4 linked regions of the Schizosaccharomyces pombe genome follow. The gene in region 1 interacts genetically with each later gene. Each region holds a gene or a part of one and is shown in the gene's direction. Other genes may lie near its edges.

The links.
Region 2: mutations in spf1 (region 1) and rhn1 together harm fitness more than expected from each alone (negative genetic interaction), as found in Schizosaccharomyces pombe (3 studies listed by BioGRID, with this or other methods).
Region 3: mutations in spf1 (region 1) and SPOM_SPAC1952.06C together harm fitness more than expected from each alone (negative genetic interaction), as found in Schizosaccharomyces pombe (2 studies listed by BioGRID).
Region 4: mutations in spf1 (region 1) and hrp3 together harm fitness more than expected from each alone (negative genetic interaction), as found in Schizosaccharomyces pombe (2 studies listed by BioGRID).

Annotation. Positions count from the first base shown.
Region 1 is NC_003421.2:362,865-368,230, reverse strand, and holds spf1 (Set1C PHD finger subunit Spf1), read left to right. Parts: upstream 1-2,748; 5' UTR 2,749-2,752; coding exon 2,753-4,027; 3' UTR 4,028-4,471; downstream 4,472-5,366. Other genes in the region: bouquet formation protein Bqt3, read left to right, coding at 1-52; vsl1 (SNARE protein Vam7), read left to right, coding at 1,242-1,277, 1,314-2,303; SPOM_SPCC594.04C (steroid oxidoreductase superfamily protein), read left to right, coding at 4,498-5,366. UniProt on the Schizosaccharomyces pombe protein: The Set1 complex specifically methylates 'Lys-4' of histone H3.
Region 2 is NC_003423.3:1,033,187-1,037,975, forward strand, and holds rhn1 (RNA polymerase II transcription termination factor), read left to right. Parts: upstream 1-2,335; 5' UTR 2,336-2,351; coding exon 2,352-2,499; exon of another isoform or gene 2,500-2,547; coding exon 2,548-2,648; exon of another isoform or gene 2,649-2,716; coding exon 2,717-2,911; intron 2,912-2,958; coding exon 2,959-3,678; downstream 3,679-4,789. Other genes in the region: serine/threonine protein kinase Ppk27, read left to right, coding at 3,891-4,596, 4,664-4,789.
Region 3 is NC_003424.3:4,974,601-4,979,873, reverse strand, and holds SPOM_SPAC1952.06C (uncharacterized protein), read left to right. Parts: upstream 1-2,224; 5' UTR 2,225-2,433; coding exon 2,434-4,128; 3' UTR 4,129-4,244; downstream 4,245-5,273. Other genes in the region: checkpoint clamp complex protein Rad1, read right to left, coding at 115-709, 753-993, 1,120-1,255; SAGA complex histone acetyltransferase catalytic subunit Gcn5, read right to left, coding at 4,394-5,273. UniProt on the Schizosaccharomyces pombe protein: Probable spliceosomal component involved in the activation of pre-mRNA splicing.
Region 4 is NC_003424.3:5,375,120-5,383,854, forward strand, and holds hrp3 (CHD family chromatin remodeller Hrp3), read left to right. Parts: upstream 1-2,704; 5' UTR 2,705-2,807; exon of another isoform or gene 2,808-3,296; intron 3,297-3,302; 5' UTR 3,303-3,307; coding exon 3,308-3,499; intron 3,500-3,556; coding exon 3,557-7,531; 3' UTR 7,532-7,794; downstream 7,795-8,735. Other genes in the region: U1 snRNP-associated protein Prp40, read left to right, coding at 493-2,580; proteasome receptor/ubiquitin ligase adaptor Dss1, read left to right, coding at 7,974-8,004, 8,111-8,152, 8,193-8,335.

The DNA of each region.
Region 1 (5,366 bases):
CTTGTCACAAATTTGGATTATCACTTTTATCTGCTGGGCATTGTCTCTGTAAAGTTCGAGTTCTGTTTCTTTTACATCATTTTTTTTCTTGTAATGTAGTTAGTTGGTTGTTTACTTCCTGGTGGAAGTTCTCATGGGCTTATCTTAATTCATTGTATCTGTTATGGGATTTTCCAAATTTGTCTATATGTCTTTACTCGTGTTCAATAATTTCAGTGAGGTAACGTCAAACTTTTTTCATCAGGTTAATGCCCTTTTTCTTCTCTTTTTCATTTTTCGTTTTCACGGTGGAATTTATTTCTGATGAAGGAGGCAGATTTCTTCTTTCTGAGTTGAACATCATGTGTGGAACTGACTATGAATATATGTAATTTAATGACTGTGGTTTCAAATTGATTCCGAACTCTTTTAAAAGATATCCATTGTGGGATGTTTCGTCCTTTATTCTCATCTATTAGGGTCGCATAGTTTGAATTGGATGATCGTTCAAAAGCAGTATATGGTTATACTTTAAGCAAATGTGAGAAGTCTTTTCGCTGTATATTTTTCCCTCTCGTGATATGAAAAAACAGTTGTTAAGTTCCACTAGTACTATTATATATCATCTGTGGGGCCTTTATATTTACATGACATGTATTTTAAGTGAAAAATCTTTATGCATATCAGAGTACTGTTGTTATTTGGAATCTACCTATACTTACACTTTTGCATAATGTTACGATCTGGCGTTTATTCTGTGCTTTTAATACTTTAGGCAAGTCGCGCTTGCAACCAATCCATGTAGGAAAATATAGAAAATAAACAATTTCTGTTTATTACTAAGCTTCGTTAAGATTTTGCCGTTCTTCTGTTTAGGTATTGTAATTACTTGTAAGTTGCACCGTTCACGAGTGCCAAAAAAAATACTCAATAATCTGACTATAAAGTGTTTAAAGGTATAAGATAATATACTAACCTAATTCATTATTTTAATTTCTAAATCTATTGCAAACTGGTAAACTTTCTTTCAATACCTGCCAATTCGATAATCGTAAAGGCATCTCGCGCATCAAGGAAAACATGAGGTTTAAAGGATCTAAAGCATCATGAAACTGAAATTTATCTTTATTCAACTAATAGAACCTATACTATTTGAAAGCTCAAATTCTACATTATACAGTTTTATAACGATAGTGCAGTAAATCCGATACAGTAGTCTGTTGTTCATGAACTCATTGTTGATCAACCTGTTCATAGCAAGTATGGCGCTAAAAATTAAAATACCAGAAACGTCTCAAGTAAGCTTTATTCCTTTAATTTTTACTTACAACTAGTCTTCTGATGAATATTCACGATGGACGGTTTACCATATTGAAGTAGCATTTCCGAATGGTGGGAAACATGTTGTATTTCGTCGGTTCAATGAATTCGTTGCTTTGGATGCTCAAATTCGGCCAAATGACTACAACAGTAGACTTTGCAAACTCCCCTCTAAATCTTGGGTTTCTTCAACTGTGACAAATGAAAAGTTACGTGAATCTCGACGACTTGCTTTACAAGCTTACGTTCAATGCCTTTCAGAAACGCCATGGATAAAAATGCCTGTGGTTAAAAAATTTCTAAATATTAAAGATGAATCGGAAGATGAAACACAGGGTCAGTTTTTGGGTCCGACAGATTGGATTCAAGTATTTCAAGATTGTAAACGTAATTTACATATGTACCGAGTTGACTTAATGAGTGGAAAAAGCATTACGATAGGAGTTCAAACAAAGAATGTCTATGCAATAAAGTCGCTAATGGATAACCTTTCAGAATCGTTAGACAAATTAGAATTAGCAAATGCTCTTGGTCCAGGAGAAATCCTTCGACGAAAAGATATGTTAGAACAGCTTGGTTCTGAATTCTTGTCATTTAAACGGTTAGTTAAAAATGCAAACAGCCCAGTCGCTCCTCCTTCTGCCTCATCTCAATTAAACTCTTCTAATCCTAGTTCTCCCTTTCGCCCATTATCTGCATCTACTGACAAACAATCTAATACCTCTTTGAACAGAGTCCTTGGAAAAAACAGAATGCCAGAGACACAGACAACAAAAAAGCTTGATAATGTAGGACTGTACAACATGCAGAATCAAACTATGGAAGATCAAGATATGCAAGCAGAATCGTTATTGCCTATTATTCAAAGGCAGAAGGAGCTTTCGAAAATGATTAATCAAGAAGTTGTCGAGCAAAACTCCATGTTAGACGAGCTTTCTAATGAAGCATATGCAAACCAAAAAAAGCTACACAGAACACGAGCTGGCCTTCGCAAATTGGGTTAATATTTGGGTGTTTATGAGTATTTGATTTAATTTCACGAAATTTAATGGAATCTTCTTTTGCAGTTTTGTCTTGTTTTCTATCCAATTCTGCTACATTAGTGATTGTCTTGGATGAGATTATCTGGGCTAAAAATATTTATTATTTGGTGTATTTGCGTTCTTTCCTTTTTTTTTTTTTTTGTTTAATCTTCTTGAAGATACCGCAGTAACCTCTGTGAGTTATATAGGCATGGTTAGTTCGTCCGTCAAGGTTGAAATAATTGTCTCCTTTAATTAAGCTTGATATTAATATACGACTTGTTTAAATTTCAACTTGTTTTGACAGACCCCATTTCTTTTGTATTTTGGTTTGGCTTGTAGTTCCTTTTAATGCATTTAGTGTACTGTGCTTAAGCTCGCTTTCTTTAGATTTTACTTATTGACAGACTTAGACAACTGAAATTCCAATAATGGAATTAACGCAAGAGAATACTGAGGAAAATGAAAAAACTCATGTAGAATCAATTGTAAAATTTGAGGATTCGAATAGAGGCACCATTACTGATTTTCATATCGAGACAGCTAACAATGAGGAAGAGAAAGACGCCAACGTAATTCTCAATAAATCTGTTAAAATGGAGGTTGAAGAAGTCAACGGTCACGTTGATTCTTCCTCAACGGAAACAGACATAGAAATGCAAGTCATTCAACAGCCTACAATACCCAAAAAACCACCCGTATCAGCTCATAGAAGGGGTCCACGAAAACACCGAGGAAATGCGAATAGCCAACTCAATCTGTCTACAGCCGATCATCAAAGACCATTGTATTGTATATGCCAAAAGCCTGATGATGGATCATGGATGTTAGGATGTGATGGTTGCGAAGATTGGTTTCATGGCACTTGCGTTAATATACCTGAATCTTATAATGATTTAACTGTACAGTACTTTTGTCCTAAATGCACAGAAGAAGGAAAGGGTATAACTACTTGGAAAAGAAAATGCCGGTTACGAGAATGCTCGAATCCCACAAGACCTAATTCCAACTATTGTAGTGATAAACATGGAGTCGATTTTTTTCGAGAAAAAGTAAAGCTGAGTACGGTTGAACCTTCTGCTATAAAAAATCTTGTATTGTTTGCAAAAAAAAGGGAAGAATTTCAAAATTTGGGTACGGTGGGACCGACATTGCCAAGCCAAGTTCCTCCTGAAGTTGTGTACAATTTTGAAATTGAGGAGGCCAATAGGCTGAACGCAGAAATTGTGCAATTAAATAAAGAGAAAGAAGTAGCATCTAACAAAAAAATATTTCTTCAGTTGATCAAAGATTCTTCGCGGAGAGCGGTTCTTGCTTACAAAGAAAGAGAAGGTATTAAGAAAGATCTGTGTGGATTCGATTCTCGACTTTTATTCAATCAACAACAAATGAATGAATTGTGGGAAAAAGTTTCAAATGGAGCACCGCTATCTCTTGACATGAGTATAGATCCTTCTCCTGAGTCCACCTGCTTTACAGAGAAGCGAAGATGTGCAAAGCACACAAGCTGGCAGGTAATTTTTACCGAAGATTTTGAGTTGCAAGAAAGTAATATTTTACAAAAACTAAACATGAAGCAAACTGCCAAAGATGTAATGTTGGAGCATCAAAAACAGAGGTGCCTACCCGGGATACAATACGACGGTTATGCTCGATTTTGTCATGAACAGTTATCTCCCGAAAAAATGGCTAATTTATTAAAATAAACAGAAGGATGCATCTTTTGGTTTAATTTACAATTTTGAAGTTTGCTTTAATTTCTAGATCATTTCATGTAAATCACGAGGCATTGATTCGCAAATGTTAATGAAAGAAAAGTTTATATTGCTTGGCATTTGTCTCTTAATTTTGGCTTTAAATTTATTGACTCCCTGTTTCGCAAAATAATGTTGACAGATGGTAATTTGGTTTTTCCTTCTAAAAAGTCACTTTTTAACATAAGGACATACATTCTACACCCTCTCTTTTTATCAACTCATGTCTTAATGGCCTTGAGGTTTTCTCTCTCTTTTGTTTTGAAATTTATTTTATTTTATTTTTTGGAAAACGCAGGCTCCTTGGATTTCACTAATCCTTCTTATTCCAGAAGCTAACGTCACAATGAGACAGAGGATTTCGTGGAGCTATAGAAAGCCAACTTTCTGACATTCCCATTGTTCTTTTTCAAACGAGCACTATGACTTTGGCATCCACCATGCCAATTATTTATTCGGCATCTGATGCCGCAAAATGGAAAGTTGCAGTATCTCCTTACCTGTATCAACTGAGCAATTTGAAGTTACTGTTTACTGGAAAGTTGAATTTTGCAGATTTTTATTATAATACGAATCCATTTGTTGTAGGACTACTTCTCTCATTTATTTTGGGAAATGTGCTTTGGGGAGTGTCTGTTTGGACGAAAAATACATCGCAAGTGGATCGGCTATGGCCAATTCTGCCAACGGCTTTTTCCTTGCATTTTCTGTTTTATGGTTTGGGATACAACATTGCTTCGCGAAGATTAATGATTATGGCATTTTTGCAGACTCTATGGTCCGCGCGTCTTACTTACAATTATTACCGTAAAGGAGGTTATAATCGAGGAGCAGAGGACTATCGTTGGGTGAGAGTTCGCCAAATCATGCCTAAATGGATATATCCATTATTCCACTATTTTTACATTCATATCTTTCAAGTGCTCCACCTATATTTGCTTGCATCTCCCACGTATATTGCCATGTTGGCTGGAAACGAACGAGCATTTGGAGCATGGGATTGGATAGCACTCGAGCTTTTCATGTTTATGTTTGTGCTAGAAATGCTAGCCGACCAACAGCAATGGGATTACTATGAAGCGCGAAATCATTACAATGTCGACAAAACCGTGCCACCTCGGTTTAAGTATGACTTGTTGTCGCTTGGACGTGGTTTCAATGCTACAGGGCTCTTCCGATGGAGTCGCCATCCCAACTTTTTAGCAGAACAACTTATTTGGCTTTCATTTTATCTATTTGGAGCGATCGCTTCAGAATCACTATTGAATTGGACGATTTTTGCATGGCTTGG
Region 2 (4,789 bases), on another chromosome or scaffold:
CATTGAGTCAAGTCGCTGCTCCATAGAGTCAAATCGTTGGTCAATAGAATTAAATCGCTGCTCTATTGACTGAAACCTTGCTTCAGTTTTTTGTTCGAGTAAATCAATTCTAGTGTTCAAACGGATCGTTTCCCTTTTCATTTCAACCATTTCAACTTTCATTTCGGCCATTTCGCCTTTCATAGATGTCATCTCATTCTGCATAGCGTCAAACCGAGAATTCATGTCATTTTGCATTGAGTCCATTTTAGAAAATATTCGTTCGAAAATTCCACCTAGTTTAGTGTTTGCCCATTCATCTATCCAGCGTGGAAATTGTACTTCTCCCGATTGTTCTTCAGAAATTTCCCTTTCAATCGCTAACTTTTTCCATCCTTGTAGCCTTTCATTGCATTCAATTTCATATTTCATTTTACGATCTCATTCCTCAATATATTTTTTTCAAGTGCTTCTCTTTTGTTTTCGTCAATTTCTAACAATGTAGAATCTACAGATCTCTCGTATCTTTCAATGAAAATTTTTAAATCTTCCGCAGAATCATTTGGTGGTGGCAGATTGTAGTCATTATCAAAATTCTCGTTCGACATCATCCTTATTATTTATACAAAACCAGTTGCAATAAACCGCAGTATTCTTTTTAACGATAAAATTTCAATTCACTATAACTATACAAATGATATCTTTTGTAGCCTGCCTTATATGTTTACTAATTGACAAATATTTCTCAGAAAGGGAAATCTTGGAAAATAAAAGTACAAACGTGTGTTGAAAGCAATATTTAATATATGTGTTGTAAGTAAATTCAAATCTCTCAAGTTCCCCTTATATACAACTTTAAACAAAGAATGCTAAGGACAAAGAAAAGAGTTTTTGATGGATTAAGAAACAAGGTAACCTAAGTAACTTCACACTGGGAGTACGTGATACAGATAATGAAAATGGGCTTTATCTGTAAAATAAAAGAAAAATGGCTTATTTGCAGGTAACTTATTACAAAGTTAGATTTATTGAATAGAGGAGTATTTGTTTAAAAACAAACTTCGATTGCAAACATGCATAACAAAGTTAATAGAAAAACATTTCTTTATCCTGCTTTATTGTATTCCTCTTAAGGGATTCTCAACAGCTCTAAATAATCACGAAATATTTAAAGAAAAGGTATATTACTCATTCAAGCTATTAATTGTAAATAATATAACCCATAGCTACAACAAATGCGTTAAGAGGATATAATGTTAGCTACGCAAGTATTTAATTTAACGATACGTAGAACTACGGTGTTTTCCTAGTGATCTATTATATTGTAATTCGCAAGTAATATATAAGTAGCAATTGAGATTGGTATTCTAATATATGGGTTATATTGTTGAATAGATGAATGAGCAAATACAAGACTTGAAAAGTCCTTCAATGATATATTTCTGGTATAGAGTGTTGGCGAAACGACATGAATTCTGAGTTTGACGCTACGCAGAATGAGATTGCATCCATTAAGTTGAAATAACTACTATGAAAGGTGAAATGACTATCATTGGCAGAAAATGAACATTAGTTTTATACGTTGACATTCTTACGGCACTTTTTATTTACAATTTTGCTTACTACTAGTCATCCCGTTTTAACTTTGTTCTTAGGAGTTAATTTATTTTACTTTATTCATTTATTTTTTTATTTTTTTTGAAACTCGTATTATCGTTCAATTTCAGAACATCTTTACTGCTTTGCCTGCCCGGTTGACAAATAAATACGATTTCAAACGAACAATTAGTTTATTATATAATTTTTTACGTAAGTATATGCCATAGTTTATAGTAATACAAGGGAAGCAAAAACAAAGTCTCAATGCGGTGAGTAGTATATAGTAATTCCTGCTTCAGACAAGTCATTAAAACACACATTTGCACTCCGTACACATTTCTCAACACGCCGAATAGTTTCTTTTCATAATCCCCAACATATAACATCACAAGATTTCGTCTAGCATTCTTACCAAAACTCGTACTGTAAATGTTACAGTGAGTGATAGCCGTTAGCTAAGATGACCTGCTGAGACTAAACAAAATCATGAGAAAACGAATAATGTATTTTATATACCTAATATTTAAGAGGGAATCTTGGAGAAAACTGGGTAGTTTGAGAATAATAAATGTTCTTTTCCATCTTTACAAATGAGACGAAGATTTTTGCTCTACCCAAACTAATTAATCTGTTGTTTCAAAATCATTTTAAGTATAGGCTATAATGTAAAACATTGATATTATACAAGAAGTATTTATTACTTATGCTTATGATTTCGTTTGCGATGCTAACAGCAGTGTGTCGTAAGAAACTCACCATCAGCATAAAACAAGATGGCTTTGACTCCAGACACTGTTTCTTCAAAGTTGGCTACTCTAAATGAAACACAAGAAAGTATAACGGGAATAGCGCATTGGGTTATGTTTCACAAGCGTTATGCTGATGAAATTGTCCAAATATGGCTGGAAGCTTTGTATGAATGTATGACTCCTTTAGGAATTTGTTCGATTGTCTAACTAATTTAACCAGCTTCTTCCAACAAAAAGCTTTTATTGCTTTACCTGCTCAACGAAGTCGTTCAACAATCCCGGGTCAAAAAAATATCTGAATATATTGATGCCGTTTCTCCAGTAAGTTACTATCATTATGAGCTTGGAACATCTCCTATATGGTTTAGATTCTAATAATATTTGCATAGTATGTCGTAAACTCTGTAGCTGACGCGTACGCGTCAGTTCCTGCTTCCATTAAAACAAAAATCAAATACGTTTTTGACGTTTGGTGTCAACGCGGCATATTTTCTAAGGAGATACTTTTATCCTTGCAGGAAAGGTTTAATAATGCCGAGAACAGTGGCCATTCTAACTATTACCCCGTTGGCCCTCCGGAATGGGTATGCCGCAATTCAAATAAAATATCAGAACTTTACTAATTGCATAGGCACCTTACACTCGTTTAATGACACAAACTAGTTTATACGCAAAATCTGCTCACTCTACCAAAACTGTGGTAGATGCATTGTATAAATCATACTTGGAGAAACAATCAGATTATTCTGAACTACTCGATAATTATAAAAAGCAACTAAATAAAGCCTCTGAATCATGTAAAGGTAATTATCAGGCTTGCATCGAATCCCGATCCACACTCATTACTTCCTTGGAATCGCTTATAGAAGAACAAAAAAAGCTACTTTCAGAGGAAGAAGAGAGCCTAAAATCTGTTGAATCCATAATTTCTAATTTAGAGAATAAGGAAAGTACAACAGCTACCTCTACCTTGACCGATGCAGGTTTTGGAGATAAAAGTTCTACTGCTGGCAAACATAATGTAGAAACAACATCACCTCCGTCTAGTTCTCCAAACAGTGATGATGCTTATTCTCCTCAAGTAGATTCTTACTCTCCAAGCATTAACAGCGTACCATATACTTCCAATATTGTCGAAAATCCATCTGAAGACAATCTCTCTCCTCTTCCTCCTCCTGCCAGTGGACCCTATTCCCAAGAAGAAGAAGAAACATCATTATTTAAAAGCCAGAGAAAAGAAGAAAATGAAGAGGAATCTAAAGAATTACCAGAAGACTCAGATATCTATGGAAAAGATAGTTCTCCCTCTTCGGACGACTCTAGTGCAGCTGGTCTATATGGTGATAGCTGAAATCCATGAAATGTAATGCTTAGTTTTCATTATTTTTCTTTTTTTTTTTAAACTGTCAATCAATGTGGCAGTCTTAGTCAATAAGCATTTTTAGAATACCTATCCTAACCTTTTATATGCGTCAGTACCTGACTTCATCCTATCGAAGCCGTTTTTGGAATTTTGTATATTTCGAAGAAAGTTGAGCCCTATCTAGGAAGAATGGGCTTTTAATGTCTGAAAAAAAACATTCTTGCGAAGAAAAATCGCTGCAACTATATCCTCTTTCAAATAAAATTCGTCATGTAAATCCGAATATTTCAGCTCTTCCGTCTGAGACTGATATATCTGAATCATTGACGAACGATTTAACTAAACTAGAAATTTCTAACTATGCTCCATTTAATAGAGATTTAGAGACTTTTTCCGATTTAATTTTTGGCTTAACTAATATACAAAAAAAATCATTGTATTCTCTTCAATTAGGCAGAAGTAGAGGATATGCTTTATATTCAGACGAGAATGAGAAATATTTGTGGTCTATAAATACTAAAATCACCTCTACGGAACAAAGGGAAGTACTGCTTGTCAAATCTAATAATAAGAAGTTTGATACTTCCATCGTCCTAAAACATACTCACTTATCATCCAAGTCTCAAAACGAAAAAAAAGCTAGAGTAAAAGTATTTCGGCAAGAAATTTGGGCCCTCAAAACTTTGTCGCATCCATGTGTTGTGCAGCTATTAAATTACTACGTTTCCTCCGCCGAATTAATACTCGTAGAGAATTATTGTATGGGAGGAGATCTCTATCATTACACTAAAAAACATCATTCGGATTTCAGCCTTGAATTTGTTGGGCGAATTTTTTCTGAGTTAGTACATACAGTTGCTTACCTTCATTCCAAATGTTTGATTCATAGAGATTTAAAACTTGAAAGTAAGCTCGATGAATAAGGATTTTCAACTTTTACAGTTATGATTTTAAACTAACACTTTGTCTTTAGATATATTGCTTACCCAACCTTATAATGTTATAAAGACGATTGATAATTGGAAGAACTACCCAAATGCTTTAATTCAGATTTCTGACTTTGAGCTTTCTATTTTTGTTGACAGTAAAAATCATTTAG
Region 3 (5,273 bases), on another chromosome or scaffold:
AAATCATGATTCGTTGAATAAGTGTATTATCATAAGTTGTTCAGTATCAATTGTACCTTTTTCTTTTTTTGAAGTTATCGGAAACACTAAAGTGCTGAGTGCTAAAATTATCATTTAGCTATCCTCATCCTCGGTCTCCGCATCTCCTCGATAATTCGGATCGTTTCGTAAAACGTTATTGTCCGACTGATTAGATTCTGCTGGTTCTTCTTCTTCATCCTCCTCCTCATCTTCACTTACAAGGTCCAAAGGAACAATACAAAAGTCTACAAACGTACAAAGCCCTTCTTGACCGACAAGCATGATTTGAATGCTCAAAGTTCCATTTTCATCAATACGTAGGTTTACTTTAGAACCCACTTGTAATGCTTTCAGCGCATGTCTTATTAATGAGAAGCGGTAGGAATAAGTGTTTTCAGAATCAGTTTCAAAAGACTCTAAAACACTTTTCTCGTTTGGATATTCTATTTCCGTAGTGGATAATGCCCCTACACATCTCAATAAGAAGGTTGATTTTTGGGATGATGTATGAATAATTAAATTTTCGCCCATGTTATTGTCTAATTCCACCAAGGCATCATATAGCCAGTTACTTTTCATAATGATCTTCGTGCACAATGTGCTTGCAAGTCTATTGATGTCAACGTCGTCCTCACATTCCATAGTCAACAGTTCACAAGCCGTAGCATAACCAGCCATTTCCTCTACTCTTTATTTTTGTCAGTACAGAATGTTAATGATAAAATCCTTACTCCCATATAAATGGACAGCCGGGTCCATTATACTGTACTTTGCAGATAACGCCTCGTTTGTGCATTATGTTTACAGTGGGTTGATCCCAGGCACTAGTTGAAATCCGTTCTTTTCCATCTGTATAAATTGATAATGATTGTAAAAGAGGTGAAATCATCGTCTGGAACATATATGTATCCCCATCTGAATCACCCTGAAAATTAAACGTTTGAAACAACGACTTATCAAGAAAGGCGTGAGCTTAATGTGTGAGTGAACAATAAAGAAAAAGTGAATGCATTTCAAGAATCGCATTAATATATGAAACTTTATTAAGTAGCTTCAAATTTTTTAACGATCATAGATGTGAGACTCGACTTGTCTTACCCTGCAAAGACTGCGATTCCTCCACTGCAAACCGTAGTCCACGACTTGTGATTTCGATAGTACATTCCTTTGAAAAATCAATGCATCGTAATGTTGACTGAATCTGCTTTAAGCATACTGTTTCTGCTTGAAACATGCGAATTTACGTCCAACAATAAAAAATTGGTTATATGCTACAACTTGAACACCCGTAAATGCTAATCTTATAAATTGATAATTTTTCCTTCTGATATTAAAGGACTTGACACTTGATTACAAGACCAAACGCAGAATAAGAAAGACAGTTCAAGTTAGAAGTTATTTAGTAAAATTCGAAAAGGTGCACAATTTTAAAAGGTATGCAGATTACTAAAGGAAATGAAAATTGAGATTGCTTTTTCTTTTTTAAAAAAAAAAAAATTGTGAAATATTTTATTCTGATATATAAATTTTTGGAAAGCCGTAAAGCTTAATAGACGAGTATTTTATTTATTAATTGAATAGCATCTACTTCTAACTGTCTTTATTTATTTATCTCTCGACACAGAAATTTTATCAAATTAAATACAAGTTTTAAGAGCCATATTTGAATTTACCAAATGATATTCAAAAAAGCTATAGGATCCCAGTAAGTTGATTGACTCAAAACTAAAGATACAATTAAGGATTTGTAGCTTAATGAATTTGATTGTTTATGAAACAAATGGTTCATTTATTAGACAAATATTGCAAATTGCCGAACTGTTTTAGTGATAATAGCTAAATTTAAATTGCTTTAGAAAATCCATAATTGTAATTTTATCATATATACAGTTAGGATGTCATTTTTACACCCTCTTTTGAAAAGTCATTGCTACAATTAAAAGAAAGGTAATACAAGATGGATCTAATTTCTTCCTTATTTAATCAACCTAAAAAATTTCGAGTTAACTGCATGCACTTTATTTAGCTTCTCTTCTCTTAAATAAACACTTTTTATCCTTCTTCCAATCTCTCCTTTCTTGGATATAAGAGTTGTATAATATTTATAAAACAGAGGGGAATTTACTTGCTGTTATTATTTTTTTCCAAGCTTAGATTCTGGTTTTCACTTTTGATACACTTTGTACATGCCTACATCTTACCTAGCTTTTACTTGAACTGGTAAACGAGAGGAATTTTAGGAACGAGTCAGGCGTTATAATTGAATTGCACGATAGTCTTTTCATAAGGCTTTTATTTTACTTGATGCGGCTATAAAATATAAGTTTGTCAAAATTATTTATTTTGTATCAGACGGTTTTCATATATTCAATTTGAAAAGGAAACTGGCGCATAAAAAATACATTATTCTAAATGGATGTAGATTCAATTTTTAAAAATACCGAGGAAACAAATAAGAAAAGGAACCCTGAGGAAGCAGACTCTTTGGAGCCAGCTAGTAGTCGCAGAAGACTCGCTGAAGAGAATAGCGATGAGGAGAATGAAGAATTTGACGAGGAAGGAGGTAGATTTTTTGGAAGTGGGCTTAAAAAGAGTGAAAAAACCGTTTTAGACTTTTTAGACGAACAGGAAGCCCAGGAAGAACCTGCTTCATTGACTCCTACTGAATTGAAGCGCATGGTAGTACGACTTGAAAAAACAATTAATAATAATCAGGAGTTACGCATCAAGTATTCTACTTCTCCTCAAAGGTTTATAGAATCAGAGGCAGATCTTGATCTGGAAATTCGAAGCTTCAATGTGCTTTCAGAGTATCCTATCCTCATACCCATTTTCCTTAAATTAGATTGTGTTTCCACGTTTTTAGAATTAATGAACCATGAAAATGCGGATATTACTATTACGGTATTGGAGCTATTGATAGAACTGACTGACGAGGATGTTGACCCAGACGCATTAAACTCCTTATTTACTTCCCTTATAGATTCTGGTTTGCTTCCTTTGCTTTCAAATACAATCAAAAGGTTTGACGAATCTAATGAGGAAGACCGACATGGAGTATATTGTGTGCTCTCTCTTATGGAGAATTTATTATCTGTGGACAATAGCATTTGTTCAATAATAGTTGAAAACACAACATTGGTAGAATGGTTACTGAGTAGATCGTCTGTTGATGAAACTTCTATATCAACTAATTTGCAGTACGCTGTTGAAATTTTAGCTATCATTCTCGCTAATTCAAAAGAAGCTAAATTGAAAGTGTGCAACTTGAATGGGATTGATCTTTTGTTGCGCCGGATCAGTCCTTATAGGCTTCGTGATCCAACCCAAGGATCAGAAGAAGAAATGATGGAAAACGTGTTTGATTGCTTATGTAGTCTGGTTCAAGAAACGAAAGGAAAATCCCTTTTTCTAAAAGAGGAAGGTATTGAATTATGCATACTAAATATGAAACATAAAGGAAAAAGCCGTTATTCTACAATCAAAGTTTTGGACTATCTTTTATTTGGGCCTCTTTCCACTCCTTATTGTATTCGATTTGTAGAAGCAGGCGGTTTGAAATATATTTTTGCTGCGTTTATGAAAATATCTGCAGCCGATACTCTGGAACATATATTAGCTATTCTGGCATCTTTATTTCGATCTTTACCTGCTGACACCGTAGAAAGGGTGCGCTTTTTACGGAAATTCATTGAAAATGACTTTGAAAAAATGAAACGCCTTTTCAAAATTTACGATCGCTTGAGAATCCAACTCAAAGGTATTGACCAAAGCAGAAAACTTGATTTTAGTCCTGATTCGGAGGAAAAGAGTACCAAATGGTTTCTCCAACAAATTGATCATGGACTGTTTCCTTTCCAATCTACAGTTCTTATCCTTTCGTGGTTATGCGTTGAAAATACAGTGACATTGAAAAAAATTAAGATGCTGTTTTCCGAAGCATCCATTCCAATTGATGAGTTGACTGATGCTCTAAAAAATTATCATGAAAACCTTGAAGAACCGACGGTGGAGTCCGAAGAGGTGGAGGCCAACGACTCTTACTACAGAATTGACGAAAAACCTATGGTTACTGTTTTACTTGGATCTATGCAAGCATCTGTGTAATAAAATCATGACTTGTTCTGATAACATATTTTCAATTTAATGAGTTGTACATTTGTTATTATGGAACATAAAGAGTGTTTGGTATTATAGAATTATATATATTTTTAAACAAAAAAACTAAAAATTAAACACTAGCAGTTCTTGATATGCCAGCATATTTGGAAGGCACAAAAGATATTCGTGTAAAAAATTAAAAGGTGAAATGTATATGTTATAATCAATAAAACTTCGGAATAGACGTTTCGATGATAATAAATGTAAATGATTAATCGGCTAAGTGTGAATACTCAGTTTCACGAAGTTTTTTCTGGAAAAACTTTTCCAATCTATCGGCATTTTTATAGTAAGTCGTGTTGGAGTCATTGTAAGAACGGCAATTATCAAATATATATTTTGCATCCCGAATAAATTCCTCTACAGACTCATACTGGTTGTTACGCAACCGAAATTCCATAGTCGAAAGGTCCATGGGGTGTTCAATAACTTCGTAATAATCGGGTACATCCTCTTTACTAACCGGTTGCATAAAGGGCCAGGAAGACGGATGATTTTGCATTTCTGTAAAAAGCATTTCCAAAACGGCAAAAAAAGGTTTAGGTCTGGGCTTTTTGGAGAGCTCTTCCATTTCCTTGCACCATCCAACTTCCATCAACCCAGGAACTTGAGACGGCTCTATATGAGCTGGACCATCTTTGAATACGTCTAAACCAGGATAAACAACGTTCGACCGAGTGATCCTGTTAATTTTGGAAACAACAGCAGCTTTCTGAATAGCCAAAATCAGATTAGCTTCTAAATACTTTATTTTTGGAATCATGGTGCATTGCATAAGTGTGCCACCTTCGTAATCCTTAATATAGCCAACCCATATAGACTTGTCAAGAGTAATTTCCTTAGTAAATCCTTGTTTTTTAAAATACCCGATTGCATAGTTATCTGCATATGTCAAGAAGTGCTGAATTGTAGTAGTTCCACGGACATAATCCTTTAAATGATTCATTAAATGAGAACCATAACCACGAACCTGTTCATTGGAAGCAATCGCACAAAATACAATTTCGGCAAATCCTCGTTGTTCAAATGGACGATAAGTAATACCGCCCACTACATGTAAATTATCTTTGACAATGGTCATTGAAAGATGG
Region 4 (8,735 bases), on another chromosome or scaffold:
AAATACTTTAACTGTGAATAACACGCTCTGTTTAAATCTTTAAGTCTTGCAGAATTTACGTTAAACGTCACTAAAAACATTCATTTTTTTGAATACCCCCTAATATAAGTACGATGTCAATATAGCTTTTTCTACTTCTTGTATAAAATTAGTTTAATTTCTCTTGATACAGCTTAACTCACTCCATATTTCAACTCAGTCATAAGTTGTTTAGCAACGGCTATAGCATCGCTTGTAAATTAACTCACTTTGAAGTCTGTTATTCTCAAGACCTGTTTACAACAATATAGTAAATGTATTCTAAACTGACCACAGTCTAACGTATCTCTATTATCAATTAGATATTACGTAGTTGATAATACAGTGAAACAACGAGTCCCCCACATATAGACTCGACCACCACACCCGTTTGTAGTGAACAGTGAGTGTAACTCTACACGCTGGCTTAAACCACAACCCCAATTTTAAGGGGAGTTATTCATAAATGTGAAGATGTCTGCACCTCCATGGCAAACTTCAGAGTACGATGAAACTGAGGGATTCACGTCTAATCAGGAAGGGCCGTCAGCAGCTCCTTCCAAGACTGTGGCCTCTGACTGGCATGAAGTGAAGACAGAAGATTCTCGAGTTTATTACTACAACTCAGTAACGCGCAAAAGTGTTTGGGAAAAACCAGAGGAGTTAATGAATGACTTTGAAAAAAAGCTTTCGAAACTAGCTTGGAAAGAATATGCCACCGCTGATGGCAAAAAGTATTGGTATAATGTCAATACCCGTGAATCAGTGTGGGATATTCCTGATGAATATAAAGCTGCCCTTGTTGATGAACCGGAACAGCAAAAAAAGGCTTTGTCGTCTAAAATCAAAAGCAATGACAACAAGCCAGCTGTTCAAAGCATTCAACGGCATGGTCCGGATGTTGCTGCTCCTTCAAGTCAACCAGCTAAAGATCAAAGCCAACAAATTTCACAAGGCAGTCATAAACGAACTATAAACTTTGTTCAACAAAAGGATAAGCGCCAAAAACGTTCTAATGATTATCAGCACGAAAACTATGATACCTATGAAGCCGCAGAGCGCGCTTTCTTTAAATTTTTAGACTCTCATAATGTCAACCCAAGCTGGACTTGGGAGCAGACTGTCCGAGAGCTTTGTGATGCTAAGGGCTATTATGTCATGAAGGATCCTTGGCATCGGAAATGTGCTTTCGATGCGTACATCTTAAACTATTTGACCGATCAAAGTGATGCAGAAAAGAACCGAGTAACTAAGATTAGGAAGGAGTTTATTGAGATGCTAAAAAGTAGTGATAAAATTCATTCTTATACTTTGTGGCGTACTGTGAAGAATGAATTTTCTTCTCATCCTGCTTTTAACGCTACTTCTTCTGAAACTGAACAACAACAACTATTTTTTGAATATAAGCAAAAGCTTTTAGAGGATGAAAAGCAGTTGGAAAAGGATCGCAGAAAGGAAGCATTGGATGATTTTTGTTCGCTTTTGCGAAACATGAATTTCGAGCCTTACACCCGCTGGAGCGTTGCGCAAGCAAAATTTGATCAAGATCCAAGGTATACAAGGAATTCAAATATGAAATATCTTTCTAAATTAGATGCTCTTGTAGCATTTGAAGATCATGTTAAGCATTTGGAACGCGAATATATTCTTGACAAACAAAAGCAGAAGAAAGAAAAGCATCGTATAGAAAGGAAAAATCGTGATGCCTTTCGTGCGCTATTACAAGACTTACGCGTGCAAAAGAAGATTACATTACGCACGAAGTGGAAAGAATTATATCCCATAATCAAGGATGATCCAAGATATCTTAACTTACTAGGGCAATCTGGCTCTACACCATTAGATTTATTTTGGGATACGATCGTTGATTTGGAGAATATGTATCGGGAAAAGCGTAATTTGGTTTTGGACTGTCTTGAAGTATTGCAAATATCTGTGGATGACACATCTAATATTCCTGAAATTATAGCAAGGTTATCAGAAAAGCTTAAAGATCGAGAGGAAAGTGAGGCAGTAACTGAAGACCTTATTGAAGAAGTTGTTAATCGATTACGTGATAAAGCGATCCACAAAAAAGCTGAGGAAAAGCGTGCTGATGAACGACGCATTCGAAGGAAAATTGATAATCTCAGAAGTGCCATTAAATACCTTAAACCTCCAATTTCTGCCGATGCTTCTTACGATGAAATTAGACCTTTAATTTCTATTCTACCGGAATTTGCTGCGCTCCATTCCGAGGAACACAGGATGGCTGCTTTTGACAAATATATAAGACGGCTTCGAGAAAAACGGGAATTGGAAAAGCAATACCAAAACAGAAGAGGTTATTATGATGTCGGTAAAGATGAAAGTTATTTAGCGAATAGTGCCCGACCACATAGCGGATACGAAGATGGAAGGTTGGAATATTCTGCTGACTTAGCGTCAAAAAGTAATAGGAATGAAATTAATACGATGCAGGATGTACAGGAAAATTCAATCTCTCATGTTACCGCTACACAACCGGCTGTTAAAAATATTGTTGATGATGCAGAATCTAGTGAAGAAGGTGAAATTCGTTAGTATTCAAGTTAGAAATTTAATTGTTAGTGCGTTTAATACACATGCATTTTAATGTTCTCTCAACTCGCTTTTTGTATTCATACAGTTTGATTACCTTTAGTAGCGGATACAGCCTGTAGCTATTTGAACCTCTACCACCAGTACCTCAAAAATTGTTTTTGTAACAAAACTAGCAAGTTGCTATTAAAATAGCAAAATACTGCTATAAGCGTTCTATTTAATAACGCGTAAGTAAATTTTTATTAAATTTTGTTGCAGCCACAGTTCGTTTTCCGAATTTGACGCTGAATATGTGAATGATCCACGTGTCGCATTTTTTTGTTAAACCTACATTGTTCAATGCACTGAATGTAGCTCTCTTTTTTTAAAAACCTTCTTTCTTATTATGTTTTGCTTGTTTCTCTTGTGATACAATCTTTTTGGTGGCATTCGACCTTTTATTCAAAATTGCTCTTTCTTCGAAAATGAACGATATAGTGCTTCCTATCGAAAAGATACGGGAGTTAATATGTGTTCTTTATTTAAATCTGTTCGGATCTCGTCTAAATATAGTCGTTAGTCAAGAGTTATAAATATTCACATTTAAAGTGGCATCTGGCAGTTCTCAGTTAACTAGAAGTTGGATGGAAGCCTATTACATATTTCACAATTATTCAGCATTTCAATTTCGGAAAAGTTTTGCAATAAGAAATTTGCGAAATTGGTTCTAACTTCTGTTTTAGTTGATATGAGTACAAGTGCTATAGCACTTGCTTTGTCATCATCTAAGGCTATTGAGCAGCTGGATCACGTTCAAACTGAAACCCCTAATCTTAAGCAGGAAATGTCCGAATCCCCTTCGAATAGCGGCGTAGCCTCCAAGCGCAAATTACAATCTACTGAATGGCTCGACCCAGAGCTTTACGGTCTTCGACGTTCTGTATGTCTCACATTATTTTATTCATTATGAAACTTACTTAGATGCTAATCATTATAGGGTCGCACTCGTAGTAATCCAGGAAGATATGTAGACACTGATGATCAAGAAGATGTGTTCCCATCCAAGCATCGTAAAGGTACTAGAAATGGTTCATCTTTTTCTCGTCATCGAACAATTCGCGATTTAGACGATGAAGCTGAATCTGTCACCTCTGAGGAAAGTGAGTCAGATGATAGTTCTTATGGCGGAACTCCCAAAAAGCGATCTCGGCAAAAAAAATCAAACACCTACGTTCAAGATGAAATTCGATTTTCTTCTAGAAATAGTAAAGGTGTTAACTATAACGAAGACGCGTATTTTGAATCGTTTGAAGAAGAAGAGGAAGAAGAGATGTATGAGTACGCAACTGAAGTTTCTGAAGAACCTGAAGATACACGAGCTATAGATGTCGTTTTAGATCATAGACTTATTGAAGGACACGATGGCTCTACACCTTCTGAAGATTATGAGTTTTTAATTAAATGGGTTAATTTTTCTCATCTTCATTGTACATGGGAACCTTACAATAACATTTCTATGATCAGAGGATCTAAAAAGGTCGACAATCACATTAAGCAAGTCATACTTCTTGATCGAGAAATTCGAGAAGATCCGACCACTACGCGTGAAGACATTGAAGCAATGGATATTGAAAAAGAGAGAAAGCGTGAAAATTACGAGGAATATAAGCAGGTAGACAGAATTGTTGCCAAACACTTAAACTCCGATGGCTCAGTTGAATACTTAGTGAAATGGAAGCAGCTGTTATATGATTTTTGCACATGGGAAGCTTCCTCAATTATTGAGCCTATTGCTGCCACGGAAATTCAGGCATTTCAAGAAAGAGAAGAAAGTGCTCTTAGTCCATCAAGAGGTACAAACTATGGTAATTCGCGTCCTAAGTATCGAAAACTGGAGCAACAGCCTTCGTATATAACCGGTGGTGAGCTTCGTGACTTTCAGCTTACAGGCGTCAACTGGATGGCATATCTTTGGCATAAAAATGAAAATGGGATTTTGGCCGATGAAATGGGTCTCGGTAAGACAGTCCAAACTGTGGCTTTTCTTTCATATCTTGCACATTCTTTAAGACAGCATGGACCTTTTCTTGTAGTTGTTCCACTTTCTACAGTTCCTGCCTGGCAAGAGACATTAGCTCTTTGGGCTTCTGATATGAATTGTATAAGTTACCTTGGAAATACCACCTCAAGGCAAGTAATAAGGGATTACGAATTTTATGTTGATGGAACTCAGAAAATAAAGTTCAACTTGCTTCTAACTACTTATGAGTATGTACTCAAAGATCGCTCGGTGCTTAGTAATATAAAATGGCAATATATGGCAATTGACGAAGCTCATCGATTAAAAAACAGTGAATCGTCACTTTATGAAGCACTTTCTCAGTTCAAGAACTCAAATCGATTACTTATAACTGGAACACCATTACAAAATAATATTCGTGAGCTTGCGGCTTTGGTAGACTTCCTGATGCCAGGAAAGTTTGAGATTCGTGAGGAAATTAATTTAGAAGCACCAGATGAGGAGCAGGAAGCTTATATTAGAAGTTTACAGGAGCATTTACAACCCTACATTTTACGAAGATTAAAGAAAGACGTTGAGAAATCTCTTCCTTCTAAGTCTGAACGTATCCTTCGTGTTGAGCTTTCTGACTTACAAATGTACTGGTACAAAAATATTTTAACTCGCAATTACCGTGTCCTTACTCAAAGCATAAGTTCGGGAAGTCAAATATCTTTACTAAACATAGTTGTGGAGTTGAAAAAGGCAAGTAATCATCCTTACTTATTTGACGGAGTAGAAGAGTCATGGATGCAAAAAATAAACTCTCAAGGAAGACGAGATGAAGTCTTAAAAGGTTTAATTATGAACAGCGGGAAAATGGTGTTACTTGACAAACTTCTATCACGTCTTCGTCGAGACGGCCACCGCGTTTTAATTTTTAGTCAAATGGTTCGTATGCTTGACATTCTTGGTGATTATCTTTCTTTGAGGGGATATCCACATCAGAGACTGGATGGCACTGTCCCTGCTGCTGTACGAAGAACTTCAATAGATCATTTTAATGCACCAAACAGCCCAGATTTTGTGTTTTTATTATCCACACGAGCTGGAGGATTAGGTATTAATTTAATGACTGCTGATACAGTTATTATTTTTGATTCCGATTGGAACCCTCAAGCTGATTTACAAGCTATGGCACGTGCGCATCGCATTGGTCAGAAAAATCATGTTATGGTATACAGGCTTCTTTCCAAAGATACGATTGAAGAAGATGTCTTGGAACGTGCACGTCGTAAAATGATTCTTGAATATGCAATTATTTCATTAGGTGTTACAGACAAGCAAAAGAATTCCAAAAATGATAAATTTTCTGCTGAAGAGCTTAGCGCTATTTTGAAATTTGGAGCTTCTAATATGTTTAAAGCAGAGAATAATCAAAAGAAGCTTGAGGATATGAATTTAGATGAAATTTTGGAACATGCCGAAGATCATGATACTTCCAATGATGTGGGTGGAGCCAGCATGGGTGGTGAAGAGTTTTTGAAACAGTTCGAAGTTACAGACTATAAGGCAGATGTATCTTGGGATGATATTATACCCCTAACTGAACGTGAGAAGTTTGAAGAGGAAGACCGCTTAAGAGAAGAGGAAGAAGCGCTTAAGCAAGAAATTGAGCTTAGTAGTAGACGAGGTAATCGTCCTTATCCTAGCTCTGCGGTGGAATCCCCATCCTACTCTGGAACTTCTGAAAGGAAGAGCAAAAAGCAAATGCTTAAAGATGAGGTTTTACTGGAAAAGGAAATTCGGTTGCTTTATCGTGCTATGATTAGATATGGAAGCCTTGAGCATCGCTACAATGACATTGTTAAATATGCTGATCTTACTACGCAAGATGCTCACGTAATAAAAAAGATTGCAGCTGACTTAGTAACCGCTTCACGCAAGGCTGTATCAGCAGCCGAGAAGGACTTATCTAATGATCAGTCTAATAATAAGTCATCTCGTAAAGCGCTGCTCATTACATTTAAAGGTGTAAAAAATATAAATGCTGAAACATTGGTACAAAGGCTAAATGATCTTGATATTCTTTATGATGCTATGCCAACGTCAGGATATTCTAACTTCCAAATTCCAATGCACGTTAGATCTGTTCACGGCTGGTCCTGTCAGTGGGGACCCCGAGAAGATTCCATGTTGCTTTCTGGAATTTGTAAGCATGGATTTGGAGCTTGGTTAGAAATTCGAGATGATCCAGAACTCAAAATGAAAGACAAGATCTTTTTAGAAGACACAAAACAAACAGACAACTCTGTCCCCAAAGATAAAGAAAATAAAGAGAAAAAGGTACCTTCAGCTGTGCATTTGGTTCGTCGAGGTGAATACCTACTTAGTGCTTTACGTGAGCATCACCAAAATTTTGGCATAAAATCAAGCCCCGCTATTAGTACTAATGGAAAAACTCAACCTAAGAAGCAGACGGCTAATCGCAGACAAAGTGGCAAGCCTAACGTTAAATCTGCGCAAAAAATAGAGAGTGCAACTAGGACACCATCGCCTGCAATTTCAGAATCTCGTAAGAAACCTTCTTCTAAAGACACGAAGATTGAAACACCTAGTAGGGAACAGTCTCGCAGCCAGACAGCTTCACCCGTCAAATCTGAAAAAGACGATGGTAATGTAAGTCTAAATGCTGAACAAAAGGCACGCTGCAAAGAACTGATGTATCCAGTCCGTAAGCATATGAAAAGACTTCGGAAAGATTCTAGTGGGCTTGGACGCGCGGAGTTGGTGAAGTTACTTACTGAGTGTTTGACAACGATTGGAAAGCATATTGAAAAAACTGTCAATGATACACCCTCCGAAGAAAAAGCTACTGTTAGGAAGAATTTATGGATGTTTGCATGTTACTTTTGGCCGAAGGAGGAGGTTAAATATACCAGCTTGATCAGCATGTATGAAAAGATGAAGTAGATTTTAGCCTGTCATACAAAAGCCAATTTGTTTCTTCATTTTTCATCCGGAATATTTTAGGTTTGAAGCTCGAATATGTTTATCTTTTACAGTCTTCAATTTTGATTGCTACATTTCAAAGATCACTAAATTCTAGTCTAAAAATCGTTTCTTATTGTACCTTTAATTATAATGTTAATAAACCCTGCATTTCAAATCTTGACTTTAGGAAATCCTCCGGTATTCAGAACATAGAGTCAGCATAGATAAGAATAATCCAGTAATACAATTTGTTTTTAATTGAAATATCAATGGCAAACTGCTATTTATTAGTCTGCAACTTTATGCAGTTTGTAAATATAATAGTGTAACTCAGTAGACATCGTTACCAGTGAAAAGTTCATTCAAACATCACAGTACGGCAGGGTTCACCTTTCACACCAAATCACGTTTATAAATTAGAATGTCTCGTGCGGCCTTACCAAGCTTAGAAAGTACGTTACAAATTATTTAGAGTGGCTTTCGAGTACTATTTATTCGATATGCTAATGTCTATGATTTTTTCGTTGGCCTAAAGACGTTTACTAACATAATGCTTAGACCTTGAGGATGATGATGAGTTTGAAGATTTCGCAACAGAAAGTAAGTACTTTTAAAGAAATAATTATTTAACATCAAAAAGATTGGCCTATGAAAGATACAGAGCTTGATACTGGAGATGATACGCTATGGGAAAACAATTGGGACGATGAGGACATTGGAGACGATGATTTTTCTGTTCAATTACAAGCAGAGTTAAAAAAGAAGGGTGTTGCCGCCAATTAAGATATTGCTTCTGCCAGAGTGTATATCTCCGAAACTGCCTTCATCCCTCAGTATAATTTTAATGCATTAACAAAACGATCGAATACAGGTTCTTTCATGACTCTAAGGTTTTGCTGGTTCTGTAAATACGGTGCAGATAGATATTCTTGTGTTGAAGATTTTTACGTTTAAAGAACTTCAACTTGTCCATATCTGTAAATTAGGTCTATGATACTTATATACGCCTGAATTGATTATATTCTAACAATTACCGGCGAAACGGTACTGCCTGTATATGCGAAATGAAGATAAGCTAGAAAATGTAAAACCTATTTGCATTACTATAGACAATAGCAACCCATGATTGTTCAAATGATGATCATTTCAAATGGTCAAAAGAAGAGACGCGTAGTTAATATGT